Linked DNA regions of Nothobranchius furzeri. The protein of the gene in region 7 purifies or fractionates together with the protein of the main gene of each other region. This does not show direct contact. Links are inferred from orthologs where the notes say so. Each region holds a gene or a part of one and is shown on either strand. Other genes may lie near its edges.

Region 1 (4,607 bases), on a different chromosome or scaffold from region 7:
AATATTTTTAACTATATTCTGTGGACTTCCTGAGAGTAATGTATTACAGTAATCCAGTCTTGATGTAATAAATGCATGAACTAGTTTTTCAGCATCACTCCTGGAAAGGATGCTTCTAATCTAAGCAATATTCTGAAGGTGGAAATAGGAAATCCTTCTTCTTTTAAAATATCTTTATTAATATAAAGTTTTATTTCTAAAGTCATTTTTTTCATAATAAACCAAATGATCATTGAGCCATTTTAATTTAATTCATTCAGTTTTTATTACATAACTTCTTTTTAATAGTGTTTTTTCCCATGGCTGATTTATTTCATAATGAGACTTTACAGCAGAATGTCTCAGTCCGTCAGTCAAACCAGTGGGTGTGACCTGCCATTTTAAAAGAAGAATGAAAAATATTTCATAATATTGAACTTAGATTTTACATAACATTCTGTTATTTCATCATTTCATTGTCAGATTACATGATTGTCTAGTATTTCTTCATGTAGACATTTATTTCATAATGTCTTATTTATTTATTGAATTTTGAATACTTTTGAGTTCCATAAAACAAAGCTATTTGCAGAGATAAGTCTGGGTTGGGGTGTTTGAAAAAATTAATTTGAGAGCAAAACAATAAAAAAGATTCTGACCTAGCCTAGAATCTAGACCGTCAATTGCTGAAGCAAAAATAATCTTGCATTATACTATATATATGTATTTTTAAGAGTCCACAATAAACTTATAGGGATGGCATTGGGATTATAGATATTTTAAGAACTCATCAAAACATTAATTACAGTTGAAAAAATACTGGATTGAGCTGAGAATGTATTAATTTAAATGGCATACATCTGTAAACATGAAAAGAAAAAAATTGATGTTTGGCTGTATTGTTGAGCTAACTTAAGAAAGCTCTAGAAAGGAAACAACCCCCAGGAGTCTGCATCCAAGTGTGAAATCCTCCTCATCACTGTTGTCTGACCTATGCATGCTCCAGGGGATGAATCAAAGTAAAGGCTGGGTGCAATCTGATGGTTTTCTAGGCTATATATTTTTGTACAAACTTTCATGAAAACAAATTTGAATTTATTTAAAAAGTCCAACCCTAATTATCCTGTTTTTGTATATTTTTCTGGAATATGTTTTTACCTTGCCTAATAAAATCACAAATTCTGCAAAGTAAACAAAAACTGAGGGAAGTGAAATTGATAAAGAAGAAATAAAAGCCCTGAATTAACAATTAAAGCGGGCTTATAAGATTCCACCAGTAAAACTGTGATGAATCTTATGATCACAGAAGTGGAATGATTTAGCTATTATTGAGTTGTTTGTTAATCTGAACCTGGCTGAGTCAGTAGTACTGCATTGATCTTTATTTGGCGGAAAGAGAGCAGTAACAAAACATCAATTTCTGTCGCTTTTACTCCGTACCAGTAGGGGGCGTTAGCTGGTCTCACAAACTACGTAACAGAGCAGAAGTAGGAGAGTGTGCTACCTAGCATCACAGACATGCATGGTCTGTTATAGTTATATTGTTGTCCATTTTTGTAGCTTGTTGAGCCAGTTGGTTTTTAAACGACTGTTAACTTTGGGGAGGAAACCCTTTCTTAAATTTTCTTCACTATTCTAAGTGTGCACATAGAAGTAAAGCCCTGTGGACTCTGTCGCGAGCGGGAAAAGTAAGAAGAAACAAGCATGGCAGTGGACATGAGATTACCGACTGTTAAAAAAACAATGACTTTGTCGGCTCCCGCTGTATACCGGAAAGATTTGGTAGTTCCCGGCGATGTTATCACCTCAGACACAGGTTTCATGAGGTGGGTACTGGTTCTACTGTGAAGCCTGGGAGTAAAGGCCTGGTAACCATTACTTTACCTCGTTTTCTCACAGGGGTCATGGAACATATGTCGACGATGATAAACTAACGGCTTCAGTTGCAGGAAAGGTGCAAAGAGTTGACAAACTAATCTGCGTCAGACCTCTAAAGACCAGGTACGCCATTAATTTAAGAGCCATGAAACATCATTTACCTCTGCACTGCTTTCACTTGCTATGTGTCCTGCTTTTATCTAAATGCAGTCCTATAACTCTGATGTGAATTACAGATTTAACGGTGAGGTTGGAGATGTGGTTGTTGGCAGGATCACGGAGGTGAACAAATGTTTTTGTGATCTAAAAACAGTAAAAAGATGTAGTACTTTCATCAAGAGTTTTCAGAATGGGGATGTTTTCAAATTCAGGTTCAACAGAAGCGGTGGAAGGTGGATACCAACTCCAGACTAGATTCGGTCCTCTTATTGTCATCTGTCAATCTGCCTGGAGGAGAACTGGTGAGATAGTAGAACGTAGCTTCATATGTTTTGGTTGAGATTTTTGTTTTTACTTTTGCTAAACTGATTGATTTTGCCTTTTAGAGACGAAGATCTGCAGAAGACGAGCTCACCATGAGAAAATACATCCAGGAAGGCGATCTAATCAGTGTAAGACACATTTGATTCAAAATGACCAACTTTTACTACCAGTTTTTTTTTATTCCTGACTGGGTTTGAACTTTTGTTTGTTTTTTAGGCAGAAGTGCAGTCTGTTTTTTCAGATGGAGCACTCTCACTTCACACTCGTAGTTTAAAATATGGAAAAGTAAGTTATAGCACACAGTGACACTGAGTAATCCCACTAATTTTTACACTAACACGTTCCTAATTATAAAAAGCTTCTTTTGTGGGAAAATAATCTGTAGTAATAATAATAATAATAATAATAATTTTAATCTCAATCTTATTTCAATTCTTTTTGACTGTCAGTTGGGTCAAGGAGTGCTGGTCCAGATTTCTCCTTCTCTGATCAAGAGGCAGAAAACACATTTCCACAATCTTCCATGTGGTGCATCTATAATCCTTGGTAATAATGGCTTTGTGTGGTTGTATCCCACGCTGGGACAACAGGATGAGGAAGCTGGGGGCTTCTACACCAGTTTGGAGGTACATTCAGAACCAGTCAAGAGAAGTTGTTCATAAACTTTATTGACTTGATTTTGATAGATGTGTGTGAGCGTTAAAGTGTGAGTAAAGCAGTTCAACATAATAAGTGATTTGTTTGAGAAACCTTGCTGGGTCTATTAAAGGTCAGTTTTGTGAGACATGATCTAGTATTTTAAGACATCATAAATGATAAACTACATGAATTTACCTAAAGGCACAAAGTATTTTTATGTCAAGAGAAGGAAAAGCTTCCTAAGGAATGAAAATTTGACCCTCTGACCTGACTTCTCACCTCTGTTTGTGAAGAAATACTTATTAAACATAATCTATTTAACACATCCAGACATGTAATGCTCTAAGAATTCCTCCTGGAGGAACGGGGCAGCCTTAGAGAGAAAAGCAACTTGAGACTGTTAAAGTATTGGGTATTGACCCTTTGCACGTGACCTCACGCCACTCATGTGACCGCCCCCTTCGCCATGACGGACGGCAAAAATACCATTTACACCTGTAGAATCCCCAGTGAAGCTGGTCAAAACAAGCCAGTTTGTAGCCTTTTATCGCTTTTATTTAGTTGATTTGACAGTAAAATGGTTTTAGCCTGCTGCATGGTCGGCTGCACTAAGAGACAAGGACATAAACTCAACTCGTTTTTTCTTTTTAATAAATTTGATGGGAGACTGAGGACGGAGACAAACTGCAGTGATCAATTAAGCGAAGTAGCCCTCAGATTTGCAGCGAACATGTTTTTACCGGGTAAGATTAATGTTCATTTATTTCACGAGGAAGACAGGGACAGGGATAAAGGTGATGTGTTCATACAAGTTATTGATAATCCTGATGGATGGGTATTTCACCCCGGATGACGCGCGCCGTCCACTGTTGTATAAAGCGAGACAATTATTAACAATATTAAAGCTCCGATGTATGATTACATGTGTTAAAATTACGTTATTTATTTATTTATATGAGCTTCAGCGTTCAGAGATCTCATTCCGATGTGAGAGCAGCAGCTGAACCCGGTAACACCACCAGCAACAGGAGCTGGTAGAGATCCAGACTTTTTAAAAATCTGCTTTGGTGTGAAGTGAAACGCTGTTTACAACATAAAGTTATAAATCCAGAGGGGTGGATTTAGGCAAAGTCAGCAACATGTTTACATCGGTGAACAGCTGCAGAGAGAACGTAAGCTAACGTTGGTAAGCTAGTTAACATACCGCTCTCTATGAGCCCCCGCTAGATGCGCTACTTCTGATAATGGAACTGGGCAAGAACTAGTTGAAGGAATGCTGGAAGAGTTTAATTTTTGTTTTGATGGCAAAAACTATTTCAGGCTCTAATTTTCCCTTTGTTTAGTACTCGTGTCGCTCGCTGTTTACATGCTTTTGCCGTCCACCATGGACCCACGTGATTAGGTGACGTCAGTGCAAAGGGTCAATATGATTGGTCAATTTATAGGGCTGGGGGTAAACGATTATTTTTAAAACGATTATTCTGACGATTATTTTATCGAATAGTCGACTATTCTAATGACTATTTAGAAAATTAATCTAATGATTATTTTTCTATTGCACAATTAACAAAAACCAGAAAATCTCAAATAAATTCCTCAAAAAATTGATAAATTCTTACTGTAAGAGA
Region 2 (4,823 bases), on a different chromosome or scaffold from region 7:
TTAGCCGTTGTCTCCTGGTAACACTTAGCGTAATGCCGTCTAAAGTGGATTTTCTGAGTCCTGCTAGATGGACACAGTATCAGACAGATTCCTGTATCGGGCCATCTATAATTCTGTAGATTCCAGTTCTTTAGAGAAAAGATGGAATTGGCCAAGTTTAACTCATTCACTGCCATTTGCATTTTTTTACTGTGTGGGCATAGGAACGAGTCCCCACACCGCGAGAACAAACATCTCAGCTCTAAAGCCAATCTTCATCTGCATACGGCACACATCAAGTGACCAGGAAGCAGAAAATCCATGTGTTAGGAGGTCCTTTTGGGCCACTGCTGTAAAACAAATAAATAAATAAATAAAAAATAAAAAAAGTGTGGCGCGAACCAGAAAAGCTTCTGCAGATCACAATTCAATAACGGATTATGAAAGAACAGATAAAGCTCGAAACGCACGGATTCTTCCTGCTGTAAGAGGTATCATCATCCTAGTGCGCAATGCTCTGTGACTCTTAAAAAAACAGTAAAAATGGCACACAAAAAAAAAACCGCTGGCAGGGAAGGGCTTTATCGGTCAGGAAACAGCTGGCAGCGAATGAGTTAATATCAGCTGCTCAAAGCTGTACAAATATCAGAAATATGTATAATTACACAAAATTTACATAGGTCCATTTTTTTATTTATTGTGCAGAAATTTATCAGAATTTAACCAAATGATAACCACCTCTTAAAACTTCCCATTATGTCAAATGAAGCTCAGACTAGCTCTGGAACAGAGCAGCTGAGCCAAATGAACATGGACAAAAAGACAACAAAGAGCTAAAAAGCTGTTTATGCATCAGAACCTGCTGACCAGATCCATCTGGATTTCCTGAGTCTCACCTGTCCATCACCACTCTGCCTCTCTCCTGTGAGGTTTTCCTTGTCCTCCCCCTTGGGCTCCTCCTTACTGTGTCCTTCTGCTTCCTCCTCAGCCTTCTCTTCCTCTTCCACCTCCTCCGGTTTTGGGTCGACAGCAACTGAAGGTTTGGGCTCACTGGTTGCTGCTGGAGCTTCCTCTTCACTGTAACCCTCCTCTTCCTCCTCTACCCCCTGGAAAAAGAATTTTTCAGAAACATCTCTTCTTCAGTTTGGTCTTTGAATTGGCATCCTTAGGTTGTTGTGCCAGATCTTTGACCAATCTGAACGTCTTTTCAATCCTACAGTCAAAAACAGACTCAGTTCTTGTCTGAGGGAAGGAAACTGGGAGTTGTGTTAGGCTGGATTTACCTCTGAATGGGAGCGGTTTTCCTCCGGATCAGCACTGTCATAATCTGAGAGGACAGCTGAACAAAACAGAGCCAGAGTCATAAAATCAGGAATCACCAACAACAAATCTAACGTGGAGCTGGATAACCAGGAGAGGCTCTTACCTTCTCCGGCTCCATCTTCACTCTCCTGCAATGACAAACAGGATCAAAATGACAACGTGAAGAATCTGGCTGCCTTTAGGTGTCAGGATAGACTCTTTCCTGGTGAAGGGGATGCTAGGTTCCTCATAATTTTACAGTGACATATGTGATGTCTGACTTGTAATCATTTTAATTATGAATTTTAACAAGCTAATAAATCTTAAATTACCTGACAGTTGAAAGAAACTCAAATCATTTTTAATTAACTCCAAGTACAACATACAAGTTATTCAGGGCTTACTGCAAAGCAGATTAGAACATAGCTTTTAAAGCCCCGTTCACTTGCATTCTTTTTTTATTTGTTCCAGGGACCCATGGACCAAACGAACAAGTAGGAGACTTTGGCTCCTTATTACTGTTGGCTCAAATACAAACACAGATGACAATAATGGAAAATATTTTTTAATCAGGACACTAGTTCATTTAACAAAGAGCGAGAAGTGTTCTCGTTAGCACGTTTTACTTGATGGTAAAAATCTTCTTTAGTTGAGACCTGGGTATCAAAACATGTTTATCCCCAATACATTTTGAAGTGATAATGTCCTCACGAACAATTATTTAGAAATCAACCCCTAAATAATTCATTTGACACATTTTATCTTAATGTAACCAAGTGTAATGCAGATGAACAAGTAAGGCCTGTAGCTAAAGGGTGGTACCCCAATGACATAAAATGTAGTGGACACTGAGGCCTTGAGACATGTCAAGCCCTCAGTCCCCTGATGGGTGAGGGTCAATGACTGCCTGGGTGAAGCTACTCAGTCATGGGAATCCAGCCTCGCGCATCTTCTGAATCAGAGTATTCTGATTTGTGATTACGAGATTTTATCTATGTCGTAACGCCCCTTAGTGCAACTGGGGCTAATCTGTGATTAATCAGAACTAACAGGGTCTTTAGATGTAATGGAACCACCACGGGTCTGAAGTCCAGCGTGGAGCCGCAGACTCAGGCGAATATCAGGGTGACTTTTAGCTCTTGGTTCGGCAGAAGAATCCACTTGGACCTCAGGTAACCATCCTCTATTCTCCAGTAACGGTTCTGAGAGACTGTTGGGACTGAGCCGGTGTTATGTCACATTTTGTTCCCGAGTAAATGTGGTTCAACTGCCACCTTTTCGTCTCAGATCATCGAACTACGAATGAACGACAAAACCCATCTCCTTACTGATGAACTAGTTAATCACCCACAGTCACGTCGAACCTAATGGTACCTCTAGAGAGCCTTAAGGTTTTTCTGGAAGCGGAATAAGTCAGAACTTTTAGCCCGAATTCCAAGCTTTGTGATGGACGGACCAACGTTAGCTGCTGGAGTTAGCCTGAGTAGCTACTCACACACTCGGACTCCACGTCGCTCTTCGCCTCGGTCCGGCTCTCTGTCACCTCCACTGGTTCGGGATCTCGACCTCGAGCCTTTGTCACGGGAGAACCCGACCTTCCGCTGTCCGAACCAGAACCGGACTCGTCGTCCTCGCTGTCCTGAGACGCGCGCCTCCTCCTTCGCCGCCGGTCCGCCATCTTAGGACTGGAATGGTTAGTAACGGAAAAAGCAACGCATTATGGGTAATGGTGTTCTTTTGGAGAGCAAATTCTCCCAGCTCTTTGATGTCTACTGCCGCCCTCTGGAAATGATTAGTACAACAACGATGTAATAACTATTTTAATTTGAACGTGTACGTGAATAAACTAAAGCAATTTTTACACATATTAGCCGTTACAAAAAAGTATGAATAATCTGGAACACCTGCACGTTAAATCAACAATGTAACCTACAAAAAACTGCTGGGAATCAAATTGTTGCCCTCATTTTCTAAGAAGATGCCAACTAGAGAACGTCCAAAGATCGGAAGTAAGTTGAAAAACTGAAATAGTGGCGTGTGTGTGTGTGTGTGTGTGTGGGGGGGGGGGGGGGGGGGGGGTCGTCTTTATGGTAAGTATGCTAAAAATATGTATAAAACTACAGGCTAGAAGGGGCTCTTTTATGCAATGTCAGGAATGCAGAACTGTCAATTAACATGTGCTCTGAAGTCACGTGGCTCTGATGCTCATTAATTATTCAGAATTTTAAGCATTAAATTACACTTTAAACAGAAGAGTGACAAAAAATCACCCCCTCAGAGTTGTCATGAATGTAAACTAGATCTATTAAACCTAAAGTGATTTTTTTAACCAGGCTGTAAACATGTTTTTTTTTTCTGCTGTGAAAATGGCATTTTTAACATGGGAGTCAATGAGGATTTGCTCACTTCTGGTAGAAGCCCCTTGGCCTGGCCTGCCAGACTCTTCCTCTGTTTAATTATGCACAGAGAGAGGGTGAAGAAAAGGCCAGGGGTCTCATTTATCAAACGTTGCGTAGAATCCTTACTAAAACCGTAAGCTCAGCAAAAAAAAAATGTACTTACGCCAAGTAGGTTTATGATCTATCAAACATGGAGTACGCACAGCTACACGCAATCTCCGCTTCATAAATTGGAGAATAATGAGAATGTTTCTCAGCTGCATTTTAGTCACATCCCGCCCTCACCACGCCCACTTACTGCCATAAATAGTCAATGCAAAGTGCCTTGTGAATCTTATGCATATACATAAGCCAGCTGTTGCAGCATTTCGATCACGACTGCAGATCAAGGAAGCGCTCTTTCACAAGCAGAAATTCAGGTACCTGTGGGTGAGGTGGAGAAATGAAAGGAAGTGCTTTTGTAAAACAAGAGAAAATTCACTCAGTGGCACAGCGTTGCTGAAGCCGTCAATGCTGAGTTCTTCAGAGAGATCTGTGGCGGATATTAAAAAAATGATCCGATCAGGATTCAATCCCCAGACTCCCGGATGAAAGTCATGCGTGCTAACCAGTCAGCCAAACAGAGATCTTCCTTGTACAAGTAGCCAGGGCGCATGATCAATCGGGTCACAGTGACAGGACACTTACATTGTCACTTACGCATGACATTCTGTATCAATCTGTCACCTTGCTAATTTTCTGCATTCCGTATTTTGCGCATCAGACTGTGTGTGTGCGCGCCAGGTGCACGCGCATGTGTGTGGGAGGTCTTGTTCCGTGTGAAAACGAAGCAGTACAAGGGATAATGCTCCAAGGCAGCTGTGGCTACATTGTAGCTCATCCCCACCAGCATGTAAATGTGTGTGTAAATGTGTGTGTGAATGAGTGTGTGAATTGGGGCATGACTGATTATGTTGTGAAGCGCCTTGGAGGGTTGTTGAACCGAGGCATTATACAAAAACAGGCCATTTGGGCAATATGCTTCACCTACCTTGCCTCCTGGATAGTCTGAGGGACCGTAGGCACCTATCAGGTCGTAACCTCAATTCTTTCAGCGAACCCCAGAATAGCTGTGGCTATTTATCTCAATCTGTGTGAATGTGT
Region 3 (4,123 bases), on a different chromosome or scaffold from region 7:
TGGAAACTTTCAGATAATCCACAAATAGTGGCTTTCAAATAGTTTTGTTACTTTTTGCAAGTTTAGAAAAGAAGCAGATGAGACAGCATGTCTGATAATTTAGTTTTTCATCTGATAATATTAGAACATGTCAGTAATGTCTGAGGGGCTTTTATAAACACCATATAACTAACACTACTGGAGAAGGTATGAATTACACAGAGGCTTCTGGGGAGCCCAGTTATGGGGGGGGGGGACATTTTGCCTTGGCCCCCAAAATGTCTTGAAACGGCCCTGGGTGTGTGACTGAGTTTTGAAGGTGATCTGAATTGTATCAGATGTATAACTATGACATGTGTATAACTTATTGTTTTTTACTGGTAAAAACGTGTAGTGGAGATAAATACCTACATTTTACTTTGTTTTCTTGTTTTTATTTAACTATTTTCCTGTCCTGTCTGTCTCTCATCTTCCTGCATCTCCTCATAATTCTCCAGAAAATCTGTTGCCTGGATTCTTACTTTTTCACCTCATCAGTTACTTTTGAGCAGATCAAAGGGATCTCCTGACCGCAAAGCGGAGAGCGCGTTTTCGATGCTGCGTGAGGTGAAATCACCACAGCACAGGTGATGAGCTCCGCAGTAGCAGAGCGCTTCAGGCACAAATAAGACAGAAAATAGAGAACATGTGCAGACAAGAACGATCGTGTGCTAATTATAGTTTTTTGGTTGCGCCACTTTGAGAATGGACCGTGCGCTGGAAGCAGCTGCCTGGATCGCTGTGCAACAATGCGGAACCGGTTCGCAGCAGCGCAAGTCTGCAGGCTCTCCCTCGCGCTGATCTGCCGGTACCGGCTCTCCCTCGCGCTGATCTGCGGCTCTCCCTCGCGCTGATCTGACTTGCTCTGGTCTGCGCGCAACGGCGGGCGGGAAGGGGGGGGGCGCTTTTGGAAGAGTTGTGCGACACAACGAATCGATGACGCAATTCGTTGCCAACGCTTTTAGTAATCGATTTTCATCGAATTCATCGATTCGTTGTTGCAGCCCTACTATACACTTAGTTTTAAAGTCAGTCTAGTTTAATTTGTTAGTAATAAAATTCTTAACTTTTAAACTTGACTCTCTCTGTTCTGTTGTCTCTGAGTGAATACGTAACGGTTATCTAATCCCTGCAATAAAAAGATCCAATCTTCTGGTTTAAATAACCCAGTGTCCATTAGATGGGATTCATACTCGATATGGATCTTATGTCTATGGTCATTACTTAAACTGTAATCCTACATTTATTACACATGAAACTATAAATGTTTGGTCCGTTGGTCATCTGTATTAACTGATGTTGGTAATAAACTCACAAAAAGAAAACGTAAATAATGCCTGATCATTTCTAGCGATCTCGATTTTGAGACGATTTTTTTCTCGAGGTCGGGGCGAGTCGTGTGTAGTGTGCGTGGGGTAACAAGCACAGGGCGGTCGCACTAAGATCAAACATGTTTGCTCACACGTCATCGTTTTACTTCTACATTTTTTCTGCACACAATGACACGGATTGTCTAGAAAGTGTTTGCTGAGTTTATGTCAAATAAAATGGCTCCTAAAACATCAGGTTACTTTATCCTCCAACCCCCATAAACCCGAATGTCCTCCTACATCTATGGCAAGCCTCAAGGACAAAAGACATCAATAACAGCTCAGCAGTTTATGGATATTCCGGGTTTTTGGACTTGAAGGTCTGACGTGTTGCTAGCACAGATCCGTGGCTCATGAGGTCGAGCTGCGTAGAAGTTGTCTGGTTTCAGAGGCAGCTGAATGCAAGTGAAACGGTTACACAGCGTATGCTGGTTCTGCCGGCCCGAACCCAGAGCTACGACCCGGTTCTTACCGAAGAGGCCCAGCAGCTGGAACCAAATGATCTGCTGCTCGCTGCTGTAGGTCTGCTCGCGGCCGTCCCCCGTCAGGTCTCGCAGGTGGTGGAGTTCAAACAGGTTGATGACGGTGATGTGGACCAGCTGCTGGGAGCTGAAGGCCTTCTGCAAAATCAGCCGCTGGACAAAAAGAAGACAACGTTCTGTCTGAAGCAGCTCCACGTAGTCATCAAAGTTTAATCACATTTACCATCTGGGTTTCCAACAATTATAAAAACAAAACATGCCAATTATTTGCTCCTCCCTCCTGTGCTGCTCCAAGTAACAAATCTAACGCACCTCACACACGACGTTACCATCTCTATCGCTAAATCTAACAACGCTTCAGACCCCCTCTTGAACCTTTACCCTAATGGAGAGCAACACATCTGATGACTCCTAGCATCTTTCTGTAGAAGTCCGACGGCAATAATTCGTGAAGGTTAGTAAAACATCAGGATACATCGACTGACTGACCGTAAACCTTTCTCCGTGGAGCTCACTTGCTTGCTTTACAAGCTAAAGCCATTGAAGACATAGCGATCCGGATCTGAAGTAGATGTTTATTCCATCAGGGCTGCCAATTCTCACGTGGGGCTCGCACCTGTCTTCACGCCACCCCCCCAGGTTCTCAGGCTGATAAACAATAACAGTTCATCTCTGAGGGACACACACACCTACGGCTCTGCTGACAGGACTACATCACTATTATGCAGCAGGTTGTTGAGTTCACAACAACATAGGTGTTTATTATTATATTGCAGGTGTTTGCCCTTCATAGCTCTTTTATAGCAGGTGAGGTCTGTAGGGTATAAACTGTGAGCAGGTGTGTTGGCTCTTTTAGAATAGAACAGACCTTTGTTGAGGGGGGTTAAGGCAACACTTAGAGAAACAGCGGACGTGAATAATACAGGTCAAAGGGCATTCGGCTACTGCCGTAACCTTCAGCACTGAAAAATAAATTTAAATAGAAAACTCAGTTTCCATGAAGAAACAGCATAAAGTCAGAATAATGCTGATTATCTTTTCTGCCATGATCGTGCAGCCCCAACCCCACATCACAAGAACCGTTCTGGTACCTGAAACTGCTCCTCCAGCTTGTCCCTCAGGACGTCCAGCTTGTCCAGACCCTTGCTCAGGTAGACGTGGCCGTGGAACTTGATGAAGGCCCTGATGAAGTCAGACACGCTCCACTTGGTCTTCACCTCATCACGGCTGCAGACACACAGAGGAACCGGGCTGTTAGAACTTCTCTGGAGCTGCAGAGGAGCAGCCTGATGGTGGTGGGACATTACCTGTCCAGAGCCTTGGATAGGGCCTTCTGCAGGTTGGTGGAGGCTGCTGGGAAGGGGAACTTGACTGCGATGCTGCGGCAGTAGTAGAAGATGGTGGTGAGGTGGTCTCCCTTAGAGGAGGCCAGGATGGCCAGCTGGTTGTAGGGCTGACCTGCAGAGAAACACAGAACATCACCAGCAGGAAACTACAAACATGGCTGCTGCAGCATCAGGTCCATTTCACCACACCAGCTCACCGTTTGATGGGACCAGCTGAGCTGCGTGTCGGTAGTACGACTCCGCCTGGCTGGTCTGGTTCCGATAACGGGCTGAAAAAGGAGAACAGGGATAAGAACCGGAACGTTTCTACAGATGTTCTGTTAGACCTGCTCCTGAGTGGTTCCTCACCGATGTCTCCCAGATGGACCAGGCAGTGCTGACAGATGTAGGAACAGGAACTGGGCTGAGGTGTGATGATGGTGCCGCCACCGCTCTGCTTGTTGCTGATGATGCCGAGCTGAGACGACTTGACCCGACAGGGAAGGTCCACGCTGAAGACGGTGCAGAGCTCCTGGAGCAACTAGAAGACCACAGAGATCCATCAGGACTACAGCAGGTCCAACAGAGGACAGAATACACACCAGAACTCGTCAGAACCCATAAGGCCTGCTCTGAAAACACTCAAAGCGCAGAAAAGTTTTTTTTTATCATCAAGAAACAAACTGAACAAGGTTTTAGTCCAATCGGGACTAAACTGGATCAGATGGTTCTGAAACGGCTTCTGCCTCTGGGCCTGGCGCCGTTCTCCTCTCTTTTAGCTTTTATTGTGAAATTCTCTGGGCATCCTGTTCCTGTGAAATGCTTCAGCATCAGGTGAAACATCAGACCTTCACCTACAGTACAGCCATCACATGACCATGCTGCTGGTTGACTCTCAGCTCAACTGGACCAGAACCACCACATGGCA
Region 4 (4,847 bases), on a different chromosome or scaffold from region 7:
GCGGATTGGTTCGGCGTCTGCAGTGATGCGGACGCTGAGCCGATCTGTCGTGGGGAAGAGGGAGCTGAGCCAGAAAGCCAGGCTCTCGATTTACCGGTCGATCTACGTCCCAATCCTCACCTATGGTCATGAGCTTTGGGTAATGACCGAAAGAACGAGATTGCGGATACAAGCGGCCGAAATGAGTTTCCTCCGTAGGGTGGCCGGGCTCAGCCTTAGAGATAGGGTGAGGAGCTCGGACATTCGGGAGGGACTCGGAGTAGAACCGCTGCTCCTCCGGATCGAAAGGAGCCAGTTGAGGTGGTTTGGGCATCTGGTCAGGATGCCTCCTGGACGCCTCCCCGGGGAGGTGTTTCGGGCATGTCCTGCCGGTAGAAGGCCCCCGAGTCGACCCAGGACACGTTGGAGAGGTTACATCTCCAATCTGGTCCGGGAACGCCTTGGGGTCCTGCCGGAGGAGCTGGTGGACAAGGCCGGGGAGAGGACGGCCTGGAGCTCCCTAGTTGGGATGCTGCCCCCGCGACCCGGACCCGGATAAGCGGAGGAAGACGACGACGACAACTTTCAATGCTCTACATGGTCAAGCTCCGCCCTATATTACTGAACTGTTAAAGCCTTATGCTCCAATCCGAGCCCTCAGGTCCACTCACCAGAACGTTCCAGATGTTCCAAAGACCAGATATAAAAGTCGAGGGGATAGCTCCTTCCAGACTGTTGCACCCCGACTCTGGAATGATCTTCCTTTATCTTTATGTAGCATTGACAGTTTAGACACTTTTAAAAAAACAGCTAAAGACCCTTTTATTTAAAGCTACTTTTACCTAAATCTTTTATTTTCTTATTTTTAACTCAAAATTAGAAATCATCTTTCATCTGTTTTATGGTATTTTATCATTTAATGACTTAACTTTTCTGTTTTAATCTTTTTTTAAGATCATTATGATTTTATGACTTTATGATTTGTTTTGTTTTGATCTATGTGAAGCACTGTGGTTTTCTGTCTTTGATGAGTGCTATATAAATAAATTTACTTACTTACTTTACTAGATGATGGATGGATGGATGGATGGATGGATGGATGGATGGATGGATGGATGGATGGATGGATGGATGGATGGATGGATGGATGGATGGATGGATGGATGGATGGATGGATGGATGGATGGATGGATGGATGGATGGATGGATAGATAGATAGATAGATAGATAGATAGATAGATAGATAGATAGATAGATAGATAGATAGATAGATAGATAGATAGATAGATAGATAGATAGATAGATAGAGTAACTTTATAAACAGATAAAGATACAATTTGGTAATACTATTAAAAGATAAATAAAATAAAAGTATCATCCATCCACTCTCTATACCTGTTAGTCCATGCAGGGTCGTGGGATAAACGTATCACAAAATACATTAATCAAATACATAAAAGTAACGAACAAGGAAAATTTGAAACACAAATAGGGAAACAATGCAATGTTTCCAATAAAAAGATGTCTAGTGTCACTAAGTGGACAGTAGACATATCTCAATCTTAACTTTACATCAGACTTAACCCTAGCTCTACAAAAAAATTTACTATAGAAAAATATTTTAGAATGGACATTAACAAAAATATAATTACCAGTAATTACCGAAAATAGTAATTACCAAAAACATTTTTTTTTAAATGTGTAATTGCTTTGTATTTAGCGCCACCTCCTGGTAAAAACTTGTAAATGCAGCTTCAGTAGTCAGAAAGGAAGTTTCGAGCGGTTAGTATCTAGCTGCTAGCTGGCTAACTCTCTGAAAAGTAAACAAGTCTGTTGAGTGAGATGAGAGCAGGCTGTGGATCTCTGTAGACGTTCAGCTATGAAAGAAGACAAAGAAAACACTCGACCGAAGGAGAAAAAAGTGGAGCTAAAGTGTGAAGATGGAGAAAAGACTGAGAAGTCAAAAGAAAAGAAAGAGGCCATGACAAAGGTAAAACTTGCTAGCTAAAGCAGCTAATGTTGCTACAGACGTCAGTTTTGGATTCGTGTAGTTCTATTAAATAAAAGCATGGTTTAACTTTTTTGTTTTGTTTTTGTTTTCAGATAAAATGTTCTACGATTGAAATTATACATTTAAAGACTGGACCAAAATTTCATTTTACAAAGCCCTGCTTAGTAATTAAGGTAGTGAACTTTTTACAATGTGTTCGTAGATTGTAATCAGACGATTACCACCAAGTCTGTCTAAAGAGGAGTTAGAGGAGCAGCTGCAGCCTCTCCCAGAGGTGGACTACATGGAGTTTTTCTCAAACGACACCAGGTGAGTTCACCTGTAAAATGACTGTTAGCATTTCCTTCATTGTGTTGGTCTAACATGGCACTTCCGGTCATTTTAGCCTGTATCCCCATCTCTTCGCGAGGGCTTACATCAGTTTCAAAAATGAAGATGATATTGTTCTCTTCAGAGATCGATTCGATGGATATGTGTTCATAGACAACAGAGGTATCAAGAACACACACCCAGTTTTCTGTGAAGTGTTCCAGAGCGTTGACCTGAGACTGTCCTTGTTTATGTTTGGCCATTCAACAGGACAGGAGTATCCAGCCATTGTGGAGTTTGCGCCGTTTCAAAAGATAGCCAAGAAAAGAAGTAAGAAGAAGGACTCGAAGTGTGGAACAATTACTGAAGGCAAGGGTTTAAACTGTCTGGTGGTTTTGATCTTCTCTGTTATAAAAAGAAATAAGCTTGAAGAAACTCCATGTTCGTCCCTAACATATCTATTTTGAGATCTATCTATAAAAATCTATAGCTCAGCATGTTTGTGTTTTTATCAGATCCTGATTATAAAAAATTTCTTGAATATTACAACGGAGACGAAGAGAAGCTGACATCTACGCCTGAGACCTTGTTGGAGGAGATCGAGGCCAGATCAAAAGAACTTGAAGGTTTGTTTATGACAGCACCGTTATCACTTGCTGTGTTTGTCTTCAAATTCCATTTTTGGTTCTTTTTTTAAACACAGATAAGGTTTTTCTTTACCTTGCTGACGTTTCGTTTACGGCTGCAAACATCTTCAGAGCTGCCGCTGATGTGGATGTGTAGGAAGTGACGCCACCATCAGCGTCAGCTCTGAAGATGTTTGCAGCCGTAAACGAAACGTCAGCAAGGTAAAGAAAAACCTTATCTGTGTTTAAAAAAGAACCAAAAATGGGACTGTTATAACTGCTTGTATGTAAACAGGAGCATTGCATTTGACAAGATTTCTTATTGTGGGTTTCTTCCCCTTTCTTTTAGCTAAAAAGACCACGCCCTTGTTGGACTACCTGAAGAATAAACAGGTAAGCATGTGGTAATCGTTTTTTGGTGTTTAGGATAAATTGGTTCAACTGCATGTTAGCAAGAATCCATCAAACTTTCTATTTTAACTTTCAGAGAATCAGGGAGGAAAAGAGAGAGGAGAGACGAAGGAGGGAGCTTGAACGCAAGCGCCTGCGTGACGAAGAGCGTCGCAAGTGGAGGGAGGAGGAGAGGAGAAAACGGAAAGAGGCTGAGAAGATGAAAAGACTTGAGAAACTGCCGGAGAAAGACAAGGACCACGTTAAGGAAGAACCAAAAATTAAGGTTCGTGCAGTGAAAAAAAAAAATGCATCTGTCAATTTCAAGTTTCTCATGATGATTGTGTCTTTATATTCAGCTCCTGAAGAAACCAGATAGAAATGATGAAGCAGAGTCTGAAAAGCCTAAAGAGAAGTCCAAGAAACCAGAGAAGCCACATAAAGAGGTCCGGTCATTCAGTGATCTGAAGAGGAGACATAACATCGAGAACAAGGAGGATCGTGAAAGAAAGTCAGTTCTTGTTCTTTTTTTCCTGGCATTTTGCACTTTTGTTTGTACATTTAACTGATTTAACTCCAGCTGTGATTTCCTTTTAGAAGAGATGAAAGTGGGAGAAAGGAATTCAGGGAGCGGGACTTTGATCGAGACAGAGAGCGGGAGGAGCGGCGGCAGAGGGAAAAGGAGCGCTTCAGACGGCAGGACGAGGAAAGACGGAGGAGGAGGGAGCAGCATGATGGAGAGAACACGTTCAGGAAGCGGGAAGAGGAGATTAAAAAAGAAAAGGCGTTGGAGAAGAAGAGGAATGAAAACATGGCAGATTCCCCTCGCGGTGAGAAAACGGAGAAGGCTGCCAAAGAGAACAAAAAGGATGAGAGCAGCAAAAGGGAGCGACTGCGGAATAAGGTACGGACTCCAGTTATTTCTCACACTTGTGCCAAATAATTTCTGAGTTTGTTTTCCTTTTGTAATATTTTATTTATATTATTTGCAACAGGACCGACCCGCCATTCAGCTTTACCAGCCAGGGGCCCGGAGCCGCCACCGTGCCACACCAGGAGCAGACAGAAGAGAATCCAACTCTGCCGACAGAAAACCAGATACTGAGAGCAAGAACGTGGCTGAGAAAGTAGACGACTGAGCAGACCTCTGCTTTTGTTCATTTGAGTTAGGTGAAGAGACAGGCCTGCGAGCAGCAGTATGGCGTCTCGGAGCCACGCGCTCCACTGATTAAGCAGGGCTCCCAGTTTCGGAGGCAGAGGTGTGATCCTCTTTGGTCTGTGTTAGGAGAAGAAACGATTCACCTTCTGAAGGAGTTTGGCTGTAGGGCACATTCAAGGAAGCCAAAGTTTTGGGGACCATGTGATGTCAAAGTGAACTTAATTCAGCATTATCGCTTTGGAGGAAAAGTGTTTTACACTCTGCAAAAAAGGTGCCTTCACGCTCGTTATCTAAATCACTCTAAAATAAATTTATAATGTTCACTATGTCAACACGTGGTTTCTTCAAGGTGATTTCTGGATTTTTCTTGTGA
Region 5 (4,123 bases), on a different chromosome or scaffold from region 7:
TGGGTGGCGTCACCAGTGTGAGCAACGCTCAGTGAGTCACCGTGGGTGAAGCCTGTAGATCATCTAGGCTTCTAATCTTTGTTTTCTCCAGGGCATTTAAAACCATCCATGCTAAGTTATCATGTCAGAAGACACAGGTGGACACCTGGATTACTGACACCCTGACTGACGCACCTCAGAGTGTGAGACTGAACGTTACAGTAACAGCGGACTGCCTTCGTGTATTCACCTGTACTTTTGCTATCATTTACTTCTTCTTCCTTTTCTCCAAGTGAATTCTCCCACTGTGGGATTAATTAGGTCGATTCTATTCTATGTCCTGGTCCTGTCATTCAGAGTGTCTCAGACATGGACAAGAGACAGAGGACAGAGACGATGTGGGTGAATCTGTGGAAGGGTGAGGCATCTGATCTTAGATGTTAACAGAACAAAGATGATTGTGGATCTTAGGAGAAGAAGGAACACGCAAGACTCGCTCCATCTGACACAGCACCAAGACCGCCCCTTTAACGGTTTTGCGTTACAGTCTTTCAGCTAGATGTGTGCGATGCCGTCGTCGTACTTTTACTAGAACGTCAGCTTTTGACACAGTCCCAACATATTTTTGGACCGGTAACAACTAACCCTAACCCGGCCCTTCAATGGCTGCAGTCCTACTTTGACGTTAAGTGGTGTCTGGATAGGGAAGACCACCTCTGCCTGGGAGAGACTCTGATGATGGGTTCCACAGGGCTCCATGCTGGGCCCCCTCTTTTTGCAGTCTATTTGCTGCCAGTGAGGGGCTCCCTGTCAGCATAATGCGATGGTTCCAGATCTACCCACCTCTCTGTCTGGGGACAGGTGGCTCCGTCTCTCCACTCTAGACTCTTAGGAGGAAGTTAAGTTATGGATGGCCTACAGTTATTTGCATTTGAATATGAACAGAACGGAGGTAATGATTCTGACCACCAATAGAGCCTTCAGGTTGACCTTGCTTCTCTGTCCTCACACGATAGGAAGGTAGTCACGAACTTAAAATTTGATGCTTCTACCAGATGCTGGTCTGAGCCTGGGTGCGGTGGCACGGCTCCAGGTGGCCCAGAACTGGACACTCTGGTTCTTGACAGGTACAAGGAAGAGGGATCATATCGCTCCCGTGTTGGATTTGCTTCACTGGTTCTCGGTTGTGTACCTGGCTAAACTTAAGGTCCTGCTCCATGTCTATAGGGCCCTGCAGGGCGGTGCACCCCGTACCTCACTGCTTTGCTGCACATGGGTTACCTGAACTGAATTTATACACCACCACCCTCACCCTCAGATAAATGGATGGAAACAAGATGGAAATTATATCGGTTGTTAATATCGGCCCAGTTTTGTTTATCGGACTGACACCTATTGATGCGGATATATTGTGCACCCCTAATTTAAGTGGCATCTTCCTAAAGGGTCCCCTCCTGTTGATGGCATCATAGACAGGTCACTGCCACAGCCCTGCTGTCCTCTAGGGGGCGTCTCCTTTCCGCTATTTTAATACACATTTTTTCTTTAGTTGTGTGAATGCTCGTTAGTTTCAGTTAGTTTGCTTTTTTTGTAAAATCTCCTTTATATTTTCAATTCAGTTCATCAAAATGTTTTACCTTTTAGTCTACGTTAACAATACCAGCCTTGATAAGCTCCTCCCACATTAGCGTCTCATACCTGTGGATGTAGAGTTCTCTGTTGTTGGGCAGATCATAGTTGATGATGAGGGACACCTGTGGGACATCCAGACCTCGAGCCCAGACATCGGTGGAGATGAGGACACGACTGTAGGAGAGAGATTTGGTAGAACGTATGTGATGCTGTGGTTTTGAGTGCGTGTCCACCATGTCCGCTGAGAATCTAATACCTTGCTCCAGATCTGAACTCCTTCATGATGGACTCTCGTTCTTTCTGCGGCATGTCTCCGTGCATGGAGGACACAGTGAAGTTGGCCTCCCTCATCTTTTCTGTCAGCCAGTCCACCTGAAACCACACCCACAGGTTGGAGGTTAAACTATTTCTCTGCCTTTGGTTCAGCAGGGCTCAGATCAGCTGATCCTCGGGTCTGGCCGCCGCGCGCACCGGCAGCACGAAGAGAGAGCGGCGCTGCAGACTTTAATCATCAACAGGAAAAAACAGCTTCAACTGTGCAGGAAAAGTTGTTTAAACCAGAGGCCGACTGGTATATCAAATCAAATCAACTTTATTTATAAAGCGCTTTCACACGCCCAAAACGGACAAACAAAGCGCTGTACACCAATAAGAATCACAACAATAAAACAGACATATAACCATTTAAAATACAATAAGAAATCCCGAGTACAAGTTCGCAATCCATATCAGTCCTTTCCCAGAATCAGATCCAGACACATTCAAAGTGATGCTGCCCACCCAATCCCAACTTCAGTGTCCAAACGCTAGGGCTGTAGCGAAGCCTAGATGACGTTGACGGCTCGATTCTAAAAATTTGTCGACGTCAGATCCGGAAGTCGACGCACCGCGCCCACTTGTTGCATCCCCAGGAGTTTGTAAATAGAGGAGGAATCTGTCTGTTTTTCCTCTAGTTCGCCCTCTTCTCCGCCTTCACTAACATCTCCGCCAAATACCGAAGACCCGGAACAATGTCCGTCCACTACTAGATTCCTTTCCTGTTTTGCCCGCCTTCGTCTCCCGGCATCGGACAACTTCCGGGGTCAGATGTGCTGCTCGGTCTCTACCGCAGATGTAGGACATCACCGGGAGCGTTTCTCCCTTCATTAAGGAGCTTCTTTCAGACATGAGGAGAGCTGTTTTGGTGGTAGCAGTCTCTCCTCCGTGCTGGTCTGTTTGCTGCTGGGTGTTTTTGGTTTGTTTAAACTTGGTAACTTGAACTTAACGTTGGTAAAGCTACTGTTAACATTTTCGCTAACAGCTTCTTGCGTTTGGATAAGCCGTTACGTTTTGGTTTAGAGTTCATCTTTTTGTGGCGTAGATCTCCCTTTTATTACATTTAGAGTGTTGTGGGTTTTCGGTTTAGTGTAAAATATCACCTGAGTTTGGTTTAACCCGTAAGACCACTCGCCTCACGCACATAAGTGACCAAAACAAAGCAGCATGGAGACACTCCATCTTCTACCACCTCTCAGGCAGCAGCCTGCACTCCCAAGTTCTACACGTCACCAGAACATAACCAACCAACACAATAAAAGCAGTGTTATACAAAATGGAAGGCCTGTAGTGTTTATTCTCTTACAGTAACAATTTATCAATTTTTTTGAGGAATTTATTTGAGATTTTCTGGTTTTTGTTAATTGTGCAATAGAAAAATAATCATTAGATTAATTTTCTAAATAGTCATTAGAATAGTCGACTATTCGATAAAATAATCGTCAGAATAATCGTTTTAAAAATAATCGTTTACCCCCAGCCCTACCAAACGCCAACGAGAACAGATGCGTTTGTAGTCGGCTTTTAAAGGTCTCCAGTGATTTGGCCTGCTTTACGTCGGCTGGCAGCTCGTTCCACAGACTTGGTCCGAGCGCTGAAAAGGCACGACTCCCACGAGACTTCAGGCTGTACCTGGGCACGGTTAATAGTCTCTGGTCAGCTGACCTAGGGGAACGCACCGGGACATGTCGGTGGATGACGTCACAAAGGTGTTTAGGTGCCCCTGAGTTTAACGCCTTAAACACAAACAGGAAGACATTAAACCTGATGCGATAGGAGACAGGGAGCCGATGCAAGGCACGTGGGACTGGTGTAATATGTTCAGACCTCCTGGTAGATGTTAACAACCGAGCAGCCGAGTTCTGAGCCGCCTGGAGGCGTGCTATTGGCGCTTGCCTAAGCCCCGCATATAGCGAGTTGTGATAATCCAGCCTGCAGGTACCAAAGGCACGGATCACAGTCGGGCAGATAAATAACAGTTTTTCTATATCGGCCACTGGTCAAAATTATTTTTAAAAGCCGATAAAAAATAATAATCTGGCACCTGTGTGGCCAGCTGCTGCCGCTACTAGACTAAGAAAGGACCCGAAGAACCCCAACACAGTTTTTTTTAATGTTTTGATTTTGTTTTACATTTGAAGAGATTTATTGACTTATTTAATTTATTTTGCACACAGTGAGTGTTTGGTTGTCTTTC
Region 6 (3,210 bases), on a different chromosome or scaffold from region 7:
TCTGGTGAAAATGCAACAAAGTCCGTCCCTTTGTCTTTAGTCTTCTTCTGACTGAATCTGTGGGCCAACAGTCACAAAGTACAGTTTCTCATTTACAGAAATCAAAAATCAGATCAGATGTTCATCTGATTTAGGCCAACACCCTTTTTCTATTTACTCATATAAGAGCCACACCTTCACTAACCTTCTTGTGTTGAATCACCTCCAACTGTGATTAACTCACAACCATACGGTGTCTGTTGTCACACCCAGAGAACATCCTCAATGACGGAAACACCGCAGAATTGTTTGACATCATGTATTTCTTATAAAGAAACTTACAAATGAGACGTGCAAAGTTATTATTAAGCTCGTAAAACTATTTTTTACACAATGCTATAAAACGTAGCTACCCCTAAAGCTAATTGTAAAACCTATGTGGACAACAACTGCAGTGAAACATTTGTGATAACTAGTTTTGAGTAACAGAACAAAAATGCAAACTTTTCATTATAATTATGCGTTTTCCTTACAGATTCATTGTTGATCATGTATAAAGCTGGCTGACTAAACCACAGCACTAGTAAAATATTTAGACAGAAACTTTGTTTTTCTAAATTAATTCATAGTCATCTTCTCACCTGTACACAGTAATAAAAACATATTTTACTCTTATTAACCACGTCATCGGTCTGCAACTTCCTCCAACTTTATTGTTTGTTTCATTAAAAATCTATAAAATCAAGAATGATGTTCCCATGCAGAGGATACAATCCTATCAAGGGTTGACAATTAGACTGATGCTGGCAATCAGGCAGCGAATGCTCTAATTACTATTTTAAAAATATCTTCTTTCAGTTCCTTTTTTGAAACAGAACCAATAAGCCAGTTAACCCAGTCAAACCAGATAACCTGACAAACTGTTTATTTTACTTTATACATGTATTTCCTCATTTTACCCAGAATACTCACAGCTCATCTTTGCTTTTTTCAAAGCCCCTCTCTAGTCCAGTTGTCATGGTAACAACATCATAACAACGATCCGTCCTGCATTCGGGTGAGTGGCCCACAGGGATGCAGTCATAGCCTTTACTGGCTGAGCTCATACGTTTCCTGTTGCGTGCTCCCGGCTGATACAGCTGCATGGCTGGACGGTCCTGCAAGGAAGAGAAGAGGGCAGAGATGAAACAAAGGGCATAGTTTAGATCTAAAGGCTCCACTTGGGATTGAAATCCAGATGTTTGACTACATACTTAAAGACACACAGCTGTTAAAAGTTACAATGTGTATTTTTACACATTTTTAGTGACCTAAAAACACATGTGCCACACAACAAATTCTATTATAAATTAGTAATAGAAGAAAAAAACTATGAAAAAATGTACAAAGATTATGTTAAGAACACACAGGTGAGAGTGATGGTATAATAGGATTTCAGTTATGAATAAATATACTTTTAACATTTTGTTTTTCTTGTTTAAACAGCCCATCATCATCTCCACCACACCATTCAGTGAAAGTGTGAGTGTGTGGGTGGAGGTTGTGTATGTCACAACACTAAGTGACTGACATATTTTGTTTGTAGTAAAAAAATAAATAAATAAACCTTCCGAAGCATAGTTACATGTCTGCATCATGGGATACATCAGTGACCAGCTTCCTTTTAATCTCATGCTCACCTTCTCGCTCACCTTGTTTCGGAGGCGTTCCTTCCTGTTACTCAGCTCCTCCCTGTCCTCCTTTCCCATTTTTTCTCCACTGTCAGGACAGTAGGAGTAACCGTGGTGATGGCCCTCTTTCTTGGCCCGGTCCTGGCAGTAGCCTTTCCCCCACTTGGTCTCATCTTTCCGGCGCATGAACTTATCAAACTCATAGTGGTGTCGTTGTCGTTTTCTTTCTTCATCTTTTCCTCTGTGGTCTTTGTCTCGCTGCCTGCGCCCGTGTTGCTGCTGCTCTCTCTGCTCCTTGTCGCTTTCAGGCTGACCTCTAGTGGTTACATAAAGTAGAGCATGCACTACTGAAGATAATGAATTGTTTTTCATAAAGGTACAACCACAATAATGAAATTTCCGGCTACTTAAAAAAAACGTTTACATTTTTTTCCCTTAAATGTCAAAATGAATTTCACTGTTAAATAATTTTAACTGCAGGCAATAAAGAAATATTTAATTTTCCAACAAAAGTGTCTTTTGGATGAAGAACATTGCTAAAAATTTACATTCCATATACTTTTAAATGTCAACAACCTAGAAATAAACTAATTAGAACATTTACATTTGGATTATTTTGTTGATATAATAAAAAAGAAAACAATGGCAGAAATTTCTACATGTTTTCAATGCATGTACATTGAATCATTTAGCAGGTCTTACTTCTCTTTGGGATCTTTTGACTTCATTTGTCCCACAGATTTCTCCCAATTACCCCTGTCTCCATCACCAGTATCACTTTTCTCCTTCGTTCTGTCTGAATCAATATCATCATCTCTGTCGCTTTTCTTCAGGAGCTAAATATCCCACCCCAAAAAAAAAAAAAGGAAAATTACGTTCTATTTGTGTGCAGCTGCACCATTCACACATGATAACCACATTAACAGCACTGAAAAGGAGAAGTGATACCTTAATTTTGATGTCCTTTTCTGACAGTTTCTTCTGCTTCTCTGCCTCTTTTCGCTTGCGCCTCTCTTCCTCTCGCCGCTTTCGCTTTTCTTCCTCTCGCTGCCTTTTCTTTTCGAGTTCCCTCCTTCTCCTTTCCTCTCTCTTCTCCTCTCTGATTCTCTGTTAAATGTGTGAAACATCAAAAATGAGTTTATTTTTCATGGTTTACATTTAATTGAATTTTCCTCCAACTGTTTTATTTCTTACCTGTTTTTCAATTTTCTTATTTTTGATGTATTCCAGCAGAGGTGTTGTCCTTTTGGCTGAAAGCAAACCAAGAAAAAGAAGCAATGATGTGATTTATCTTTTGGAACAACCCTAATTTAGAGGTATGATTTTGTTTTAGTAAAAACAGAGTACCTATGAGTTCTTTAGTCTTGGCTTCAATCTCTCCGAGCAGAGTCTCGGGGTTAGCCATGGACTTCTCCTCATCACAGGAGTAATTCTCCAGGAATCGCTTGTATTCCGGGTCTAAAATAGTTTCACAGCCCAATTAGAGTTATAAATTGTACTGTTAAATTCAAACAAGATCCTTTTAAGTAGTAACATTCTGTGTATGCAATATTTTTAAGAC
Region 7 (4,123 bases):
CTATTGTCCGTGTATTGAGTTGGCGTCCGGTTTCTCCTACGTATGTTTTATTGCATATTTTGCATGGGATTTCGTAGATGACTCCACATTTTTGTCCAGCTGATATTTGCAAAATAAAACTATGGAAACGCTACGTAGACGACATACTGGAAATCATACCAAAAGGTCAAACAGAAACACTAACACAACACTTAAACAATATTGACGACACGGGCAACATAAAATTCACTTATGAGTTAGAAACAGAAGGCAGCATAGCATTTATGGACATGAAAATCACCAGGCAGACCGACGGGACCCTAAACATAAACACATACAGGAAACCAACACACACAGACCAATATTTATTATGGACATCAGAACACCCCACCATACACAAAATGTCAGTAATCAGAACATTATATCACCGAGCAAACATGATAACAGAAGAGAGAGACCGTAAACAAGAGGACAAACACATACAACACGCTTTAAAGACCTGCAGATACCCGACATGGGCAATAAACAAAGGAAAACAACAAACAAAAACAGAAAGCAAAGAACAACCCAAAAAAAGAACCAGAAACCCAGAAAGACAAGAACCAAAACCAGTGATAACCCTACCATACATCAAAGGCATAACAGAAAAAATAAGAGCAACAATGAAAAAACACAACATAAACACACCAACAAAGCCATACACAACAGTTAGAAACAGATTAGTACACCCAAAAGACAAAATATCAGCTGGACAAAAATGTGGAGTCATCTACGAAATCCCATGCAAAATATGCAATAAAACATACATAGGAGAAACCGGACGCCAACTCAATACACGGACAATAGAACATAGAAAGGAGTGCGAGAAAGAGGCAAATCGTAAACACACAAGAGCAGCAAAAGAAGAAGCAGAAAGTACAATAAAAAAGTCAGCCGTAACAGATCATTGCTTAAGAGAAAACCATATAATGGACTGGGACAACACACGGATCATAACCACCGAACAACAAAAATACAAAAGATGGATCAAGGAAGCAATAGAGATAAGGAGACGTGGATGTGGGACCATGAACAGGGACGACGGAGTTTACACACTGGACCACGCATGGGACTGCATCGTCGGAGAGGGGAGAGCGGGCAGTAGAGGGCGACAACGTCCTCTGCTGCCCGCAGATAAACGGAGAAGGAAGTGACGCGCCACCATCAGCGTCAGCCTGAAGAAGCCGGCAGCTGTCGGCGAAACCGTAGCTACAAACAGGTAAACAAAACTGTTTCTGTGTTTAAAAAAGAACGAAAGCATGGATTTACAAAGACACAGCAAGAACACACCTAAGATGTTCAGATAAGAGAACTCGTAGCTCTTACAGCCTTCTAACCTGTGCTGGCTAATTACTTTTCTACAACGGCCTGACATACCTTCCACAGTTCCTCCAACTTGTTGATCTGCTGGGCCGTGATCTGACGAGCTCGGAGTTGCTCTTGCTCTGATGGGATCTTTACCAGCCAGGACAAAAAGCAGCGGTCCTGGATGAGAGGCTGCCACTGTGAGCTGTCCCAGTTGATGTCCTTCAGGCTGCTCTGACTAGCACAGGGCTGTCTGTGTGGACAGAAACGGGTTTTTACATGTCGATGGTTGCACACAATCGATAGACCCGTGCATCACCTGATCCAGAGCCCAGAATCTCATATCTTCAGCTCAGAAAGCGCAGATATGATTACGCACAAGCGTGACCCGTCAATCCGGTCTCACAGTAAGACCGGGTTGGAACTGTTCAGGTTTACACAGACAATCTTTACATTTAGAATTGACTTATAGGTGTAAAATGAATTCAGTAAAATATAAAGCATTTTATTTAAATATCCATTCATTATTTTACAAGCACAGAGAGCTACATCAGATGGATGCAAGAGCCGCGGGTTGCCGACCCTTGACTGCAACGCAGCAGTAGAGCCCTGCGCGGGACTGTTTTCTTCATCCCGCTTCTGCCCGCTCCCGCTGAATTTCTGACAATTACCGCCCGCAACCGCAACGTGTGTGTTACACTCCCGCCCGCACCTGCACCGTACATGTCTACTCCCGCCCGCAACCGCAAAACTCGGAGAAATTATTACCTCACAACAAAAGAGATGTATTGAGTTTGCGTCCTCTCTGGTCCTGGAGAAAACATGTCATTTTATAGGCTATACCAGGGGTCGGCAACCCGCAGCTCTTCCATCCATCTGATGCGGCTCTCTGTGCTTGTAAAATAATGAATGGATATTTAAATAAAATGCTTTATATTTTACTGAATTAATTTTACATCTGTAAGTCAATTCTAAATATAAAGATTGTCTGCATAAACCTGAACAGGCCCAACCCGGTCTTACTGTGAGACCGGATTGACGGGTCACGCTTGTGCGTAATCATATCGGCGCTTTCTGAGCTGAAGATATGAGATTCTGGGCTTCTCCTCAGACGGCTCCTGGATGCGTCGCCACATTGGAGACAGGAACAAGCACTATTCAGCCAAAGTTTCATAACCAGGGAACATTTTCTAAGTGACAAGTCTCTCTGAGAGACAGGGTTTGGAAAACACTCGCTTCAGTGGGAGGAACCTTCCTGCATGCGCTCTCGTTCTGTGACGCGCTCCAAGTCAATCTCCACAACTTCAGCTCGCTGTGCACATATGCGCTGACAGCGAGCTGCGCTGAGCAGTGTCCAGCTCAGATGGGAACCTTTTAGCTACATCTGCAATGTGCATAACGAATAAAATGTCAGTTCGTCTACAATGCGTCGGGGTAATTCTTTCTATTCTTTCTCCGTCAAAATAAACGGTCAAATACGGGAACTGTCCGGTCAACACAACACAAGCCCTGCTTTTAACTGTTCTGTTTTCTTGTGAAAATTGTTGGAAAGATAAAATTTAACTTGATTACCACCAGAGCCAGTGCGCCGTCATCTCCGTGACGGTAAATGAGGGAAAACCAAATTGATCGGATCCTGCACGTCTTTTAACACATTGGTCAGGATTGACGCACTTTGTTTTCATTTAGTTGGTTAAAAAAAAGTCGGGCTCGGGTCGGGCCAGAGAATCCTGAAAACCTTTTCGGACCGGGTCGGGCAGGGGCTCCACCCCCTCGGGCCGGACACAGGTTCAGATTTTAGGCCCGTGCAGGGCTCTACTCTGGATGCAGTGGAGAGAAATAAAGGAACCAGCAAAGACAGAACCGGTCCATGTTTGGGATCAAAAGTACAGCTACACGCAAATTGGCTAATGCTAAAGCTAACAGGTAGCAGTCTCACGATCAAGTGGCCCACAGAAAAATATTTGATGATCATAAAACTAAGACTAAACTCTACAAGCGGATGAAAAGTCCCCACCATCCTGTTTATTCTGCATCCTGCAGCGCTATGGATCAGAACCGCTGCAGATATGAGACACATTACTGCTACAAGTCTGCTCCACACACAGGAGCAGGAAGTACGGCAAGCCGTTGTAGTATACAATTCACAAACGCTTCTATCTTTGAACATAATTAAAACTGGATTATTGCCAACCCGTACATAATAGACATGCCACCATTACATTGTTAGCAGCAGAAATTAAATGTTATTACCATTTCCAATACAAATGCATGTTAATGAAATGCATAATATTTTACTGGATATATTTGTGTTTTTATAATAAGATGAGTGTTATTAACACAAACCTAAAATGTTACTGAAATGTAGATCAAATATTTAAAAATATTTTTAACTATAAATATCAGACGGGGAAAAGGGAACTAAACACCAATCTAATGCATATTATTGAGCCTTTCATAATAAAAGTCTGTTATTTCAGCCTGATAATTTTGTTGTTTTATTTCATATTTTTTAGCAGCAAACCAGTTTTGTTTCACTTGAAACATTGTCAAATGGAATATTCAATTAATCAATAGAAGCTTAGATAAGAACACTTAATGAAAAAATATTTTGCCTTTAAAAAAGTGAGGCAGTTGAATGCACAGAGTATGCATGTGCTGGCACATGGTCAGGATGGTACCAGCTCTGCCTCAATTTGAGCCAGGAAAAGCCCTGTTTCTTCTTATATTTTTCCAAGTTAGTTGTTCAACCTTCTGACGGTCACTCTCATACAGACGAGTTTTGGTGAATGCAGTTATG

The links.
Region 1: the proteins of upf1 (region 7) and exosc2 purify together in Homo sapiens (affinity purification with western blotting; 3 studies listed by BioGRID and IntAct, with this or other methods). This does not show direct contact. The link is inferred for Nothobranchius furzeri from reciprocal best matches to the Homo sapiens genes UPF1 and EXOSC2.
Region 2: the proteins of upf1 (region 7) and casc3 purify together in Homo sapiens (co-immunoprecipitation; 5 studies listed by BioGRID and IntAct, with this or other methods). This does not show direct contact. The link is inferred for Nothobranchius furzeri from reciprocal best matches to the Homo sapiens genes UPF1 and CASC3.
Region 3: the proteins of upf1 (region 7) and smg7 purify together in Homo sapiens (affinity purification with western blotting; 7 studies listed by BioGRID and IntAct, with this or other methods). This does not show direct contact. The link is inferred for Nothobranchius furzeri from reciprocal best matches to the Homo sapiens genes UPF1 and SMG7.
Region 4: the proteins of upf1 (region 7) and upf3b purify together in Homo sapiens (co-immunoprecipitation; 16 studies listed by BioGRID and IntAct, with this or other methods). This does not show direct contact. The link is inferred for Nothobranchius furzeri from reciprocal best matches to the Homo sapiens genes UPF1 and UPF3B.
Region 5: the proteins of upf1 (region 7) and eif4a3 purify together in Homo sapiens (co-immunoprecipitation; 8 studies listed by BioGRID and IntAct, with this or other methods). This does not show direct contact. The link is inferred for Nothobranchius furzeri from reciprocal best matches to the Homo sapiens genes UPF1 and EIF4A3.
Region 6: the proteins of upf1 (region 7) and upf3a purify together in Homo sapiens (affinity purification with western blotting; 5 studies listed by BioGRID and IntAct, with this or other methods). This does not show direct contact. The link is inferred for Nothobranchius furzeri from reciprocal best matches to the Homo sapiens genes UPF1 and UPF3A.

What each region holds. Positions count from the first base shown.
Region 1 is NC_091746.1:53,646,470-53,651,076, forward strand, and holds the start of exosc2 (exosome complex component RRP4), read left to right. Parts: upstream 1-1,462; 5' UTR 1,463-1,683; coding exon 1,684-1,805; intron 1,806-1,878; coding exon 1,879-1,980; intron 1,981-2,093; coding exon 2,094-2,139; intron 2,140-2,228; coding exon 2,229-2,318; intron 2,319-2,402; coding exon 2,403-2,468; intron 2,469-2,556; coding exon 2,557-2,625; intron 2,626-2,789; coding exon 2,790-2,966; intron 2,967-4,607. UniProt on the Homo sapiens protein: Non-catalytic component of the RNA exosome complex which has 3'->5' exoribonuclease activity and participates in a multitude of cellular RNA processing and degradation events.
Region 2 is NC_091746.1:33,209,280-33,214,102, forward strand, and holds the start of casc3 (protein CASC3), read right to left. Parts: upstream 3,003-4,823; 5' UTR 2,960-3,002; coding exon 2,777-2,959; intron 1,431-2,776; coding exon 1,406-1,430; intron 1,319-1,405; coding exon 1,263-1,318; intron 1,086-1,262; coding exon 876-1,085; intron 1-875. UniProt on the Homo sapiens protein: Required for pre-mRNA splicing as component of the spliceosome. Core component of the splicing-dependent multiprotein exon junction complex (EJC) deposited at splice junctions on mRNAs.
Region 3 is NC_091751.1:34,600,143-34,604,265, forward strand, and holds part of smg7 (nonsense-mediated mRNA decay factor SMG7), read right to left. Parts: intron 3,737-4,123; coding exon 3,565-3,736; intron 3,486-3,564; coding exon 3,414-3,485; intron 3,329-3,413; coding exon 3,178-3,328; intron 3,098-3,177; coding exon 2,962-3,097; intron 2,024-2,961; coding exon 1,861-2,023; intron 1-1,860. UniProt on the Homo sapiens protein: Plays a role in nonsense-mediated mRNA decay. Recruits UPF1 to cytoplasmic mRNA decay bodies.
Region 4 is NC_091741.1:85,713,362-85,718,208, forward strand, and holds the start of upf3b (regulator of nonsense transcripts 3B), read left to right. Parts: upstream 1-1,732; 5' UTR 1,733-1,858; coding exon 1,859-1,969; intron 1,970-2,192; coding exon 2,193-2,299; intron 2,300-2,375; coding exon 2,376-2,482; intron 2,483-2,569; coding exon 2,570-2,668; intron 2,669-2,814; coding exon 2,815-2,925; intron 2,926-3,274; coding exon 3,275-3,318; intron 3,319-3,412; coding exon 3,413-3,601; intron 3,602-3,674; coding exon 3,675-3,826; intron 3,827-3,912; coding exon 3,913-4,219; intron 4,220-4,310; coding exon 4,311-4,454; 3' UTR 4,455-4,847. UniProt on the Homo sapiens protein: Involved in nonsense-mediated decay (NMD) of mRNAs containing premature stop codons by associating with the nuclear exon junction complex (EJC) and serving as link between the EJC core and NMD machinery.
Region 5 is NC_091746.1:29,291,873-29,295,995, forward strand, and holds part of eif4a3 (eukaryotic initiation factor 4A-III), read right to left. Parts: intron 1,984-4,123; coding exon 1,868-1,983; intron 1,786-1,867; coding exon 1,678-1,785; intron 1-1,677. UniProt on the Homo sapiens protein: ATP-dependent RNA helicase. Involved in pre-mRNA splicing as component of the spliceosome. Core component of the splicing-dependent multiprotein exon junction complex (EJC) deposited at splice junctions on mRNAs.
Region 6 is NC_091754.1:29,406,513-29,409,722, reverse strand, and holds the end of upf3a (regulator of nonsense transcripts 3A), read right to left. Parts: intron 3,108-3,210; coding exon 2,997-3,107; intron 2,900-2,996; coding exon 2,844-2,899; intron 2,757-2,843; coding exon 2,598-2,756; intron 2,486-2,597; coding exon 2,352-2,485; intron 1,966-2,351; coding exon 1,659-1,965; intron 1,137-1,658; coding exon 948-1,136; 3' UTR 770-947; downstream 1-769. UniProt on the Homo sapiens protein: Involved in nonsense-mediated decay (NMD) of mRNAs containing premature stop codons by associating with the nuclear exon junction complex (EJC) and serving as link between the EJC core and NMD machinery.
Region 7 is NC_091748.1:65,887,149-65,891,271, reverse strand, and holds part of upf1 (regulator of nonsense transcripts 1), read right to left. Parts: intron 1,577-4,123; coding exon 1,396-1,576; intron 1-1,395. UniProt on the Homo sapiens protein: RNA-dependent helicase required for nonsense-mediated decay (NMD) of aberrant mRNAs containing premature stop codons and modulates the expression level of normal mRNAs.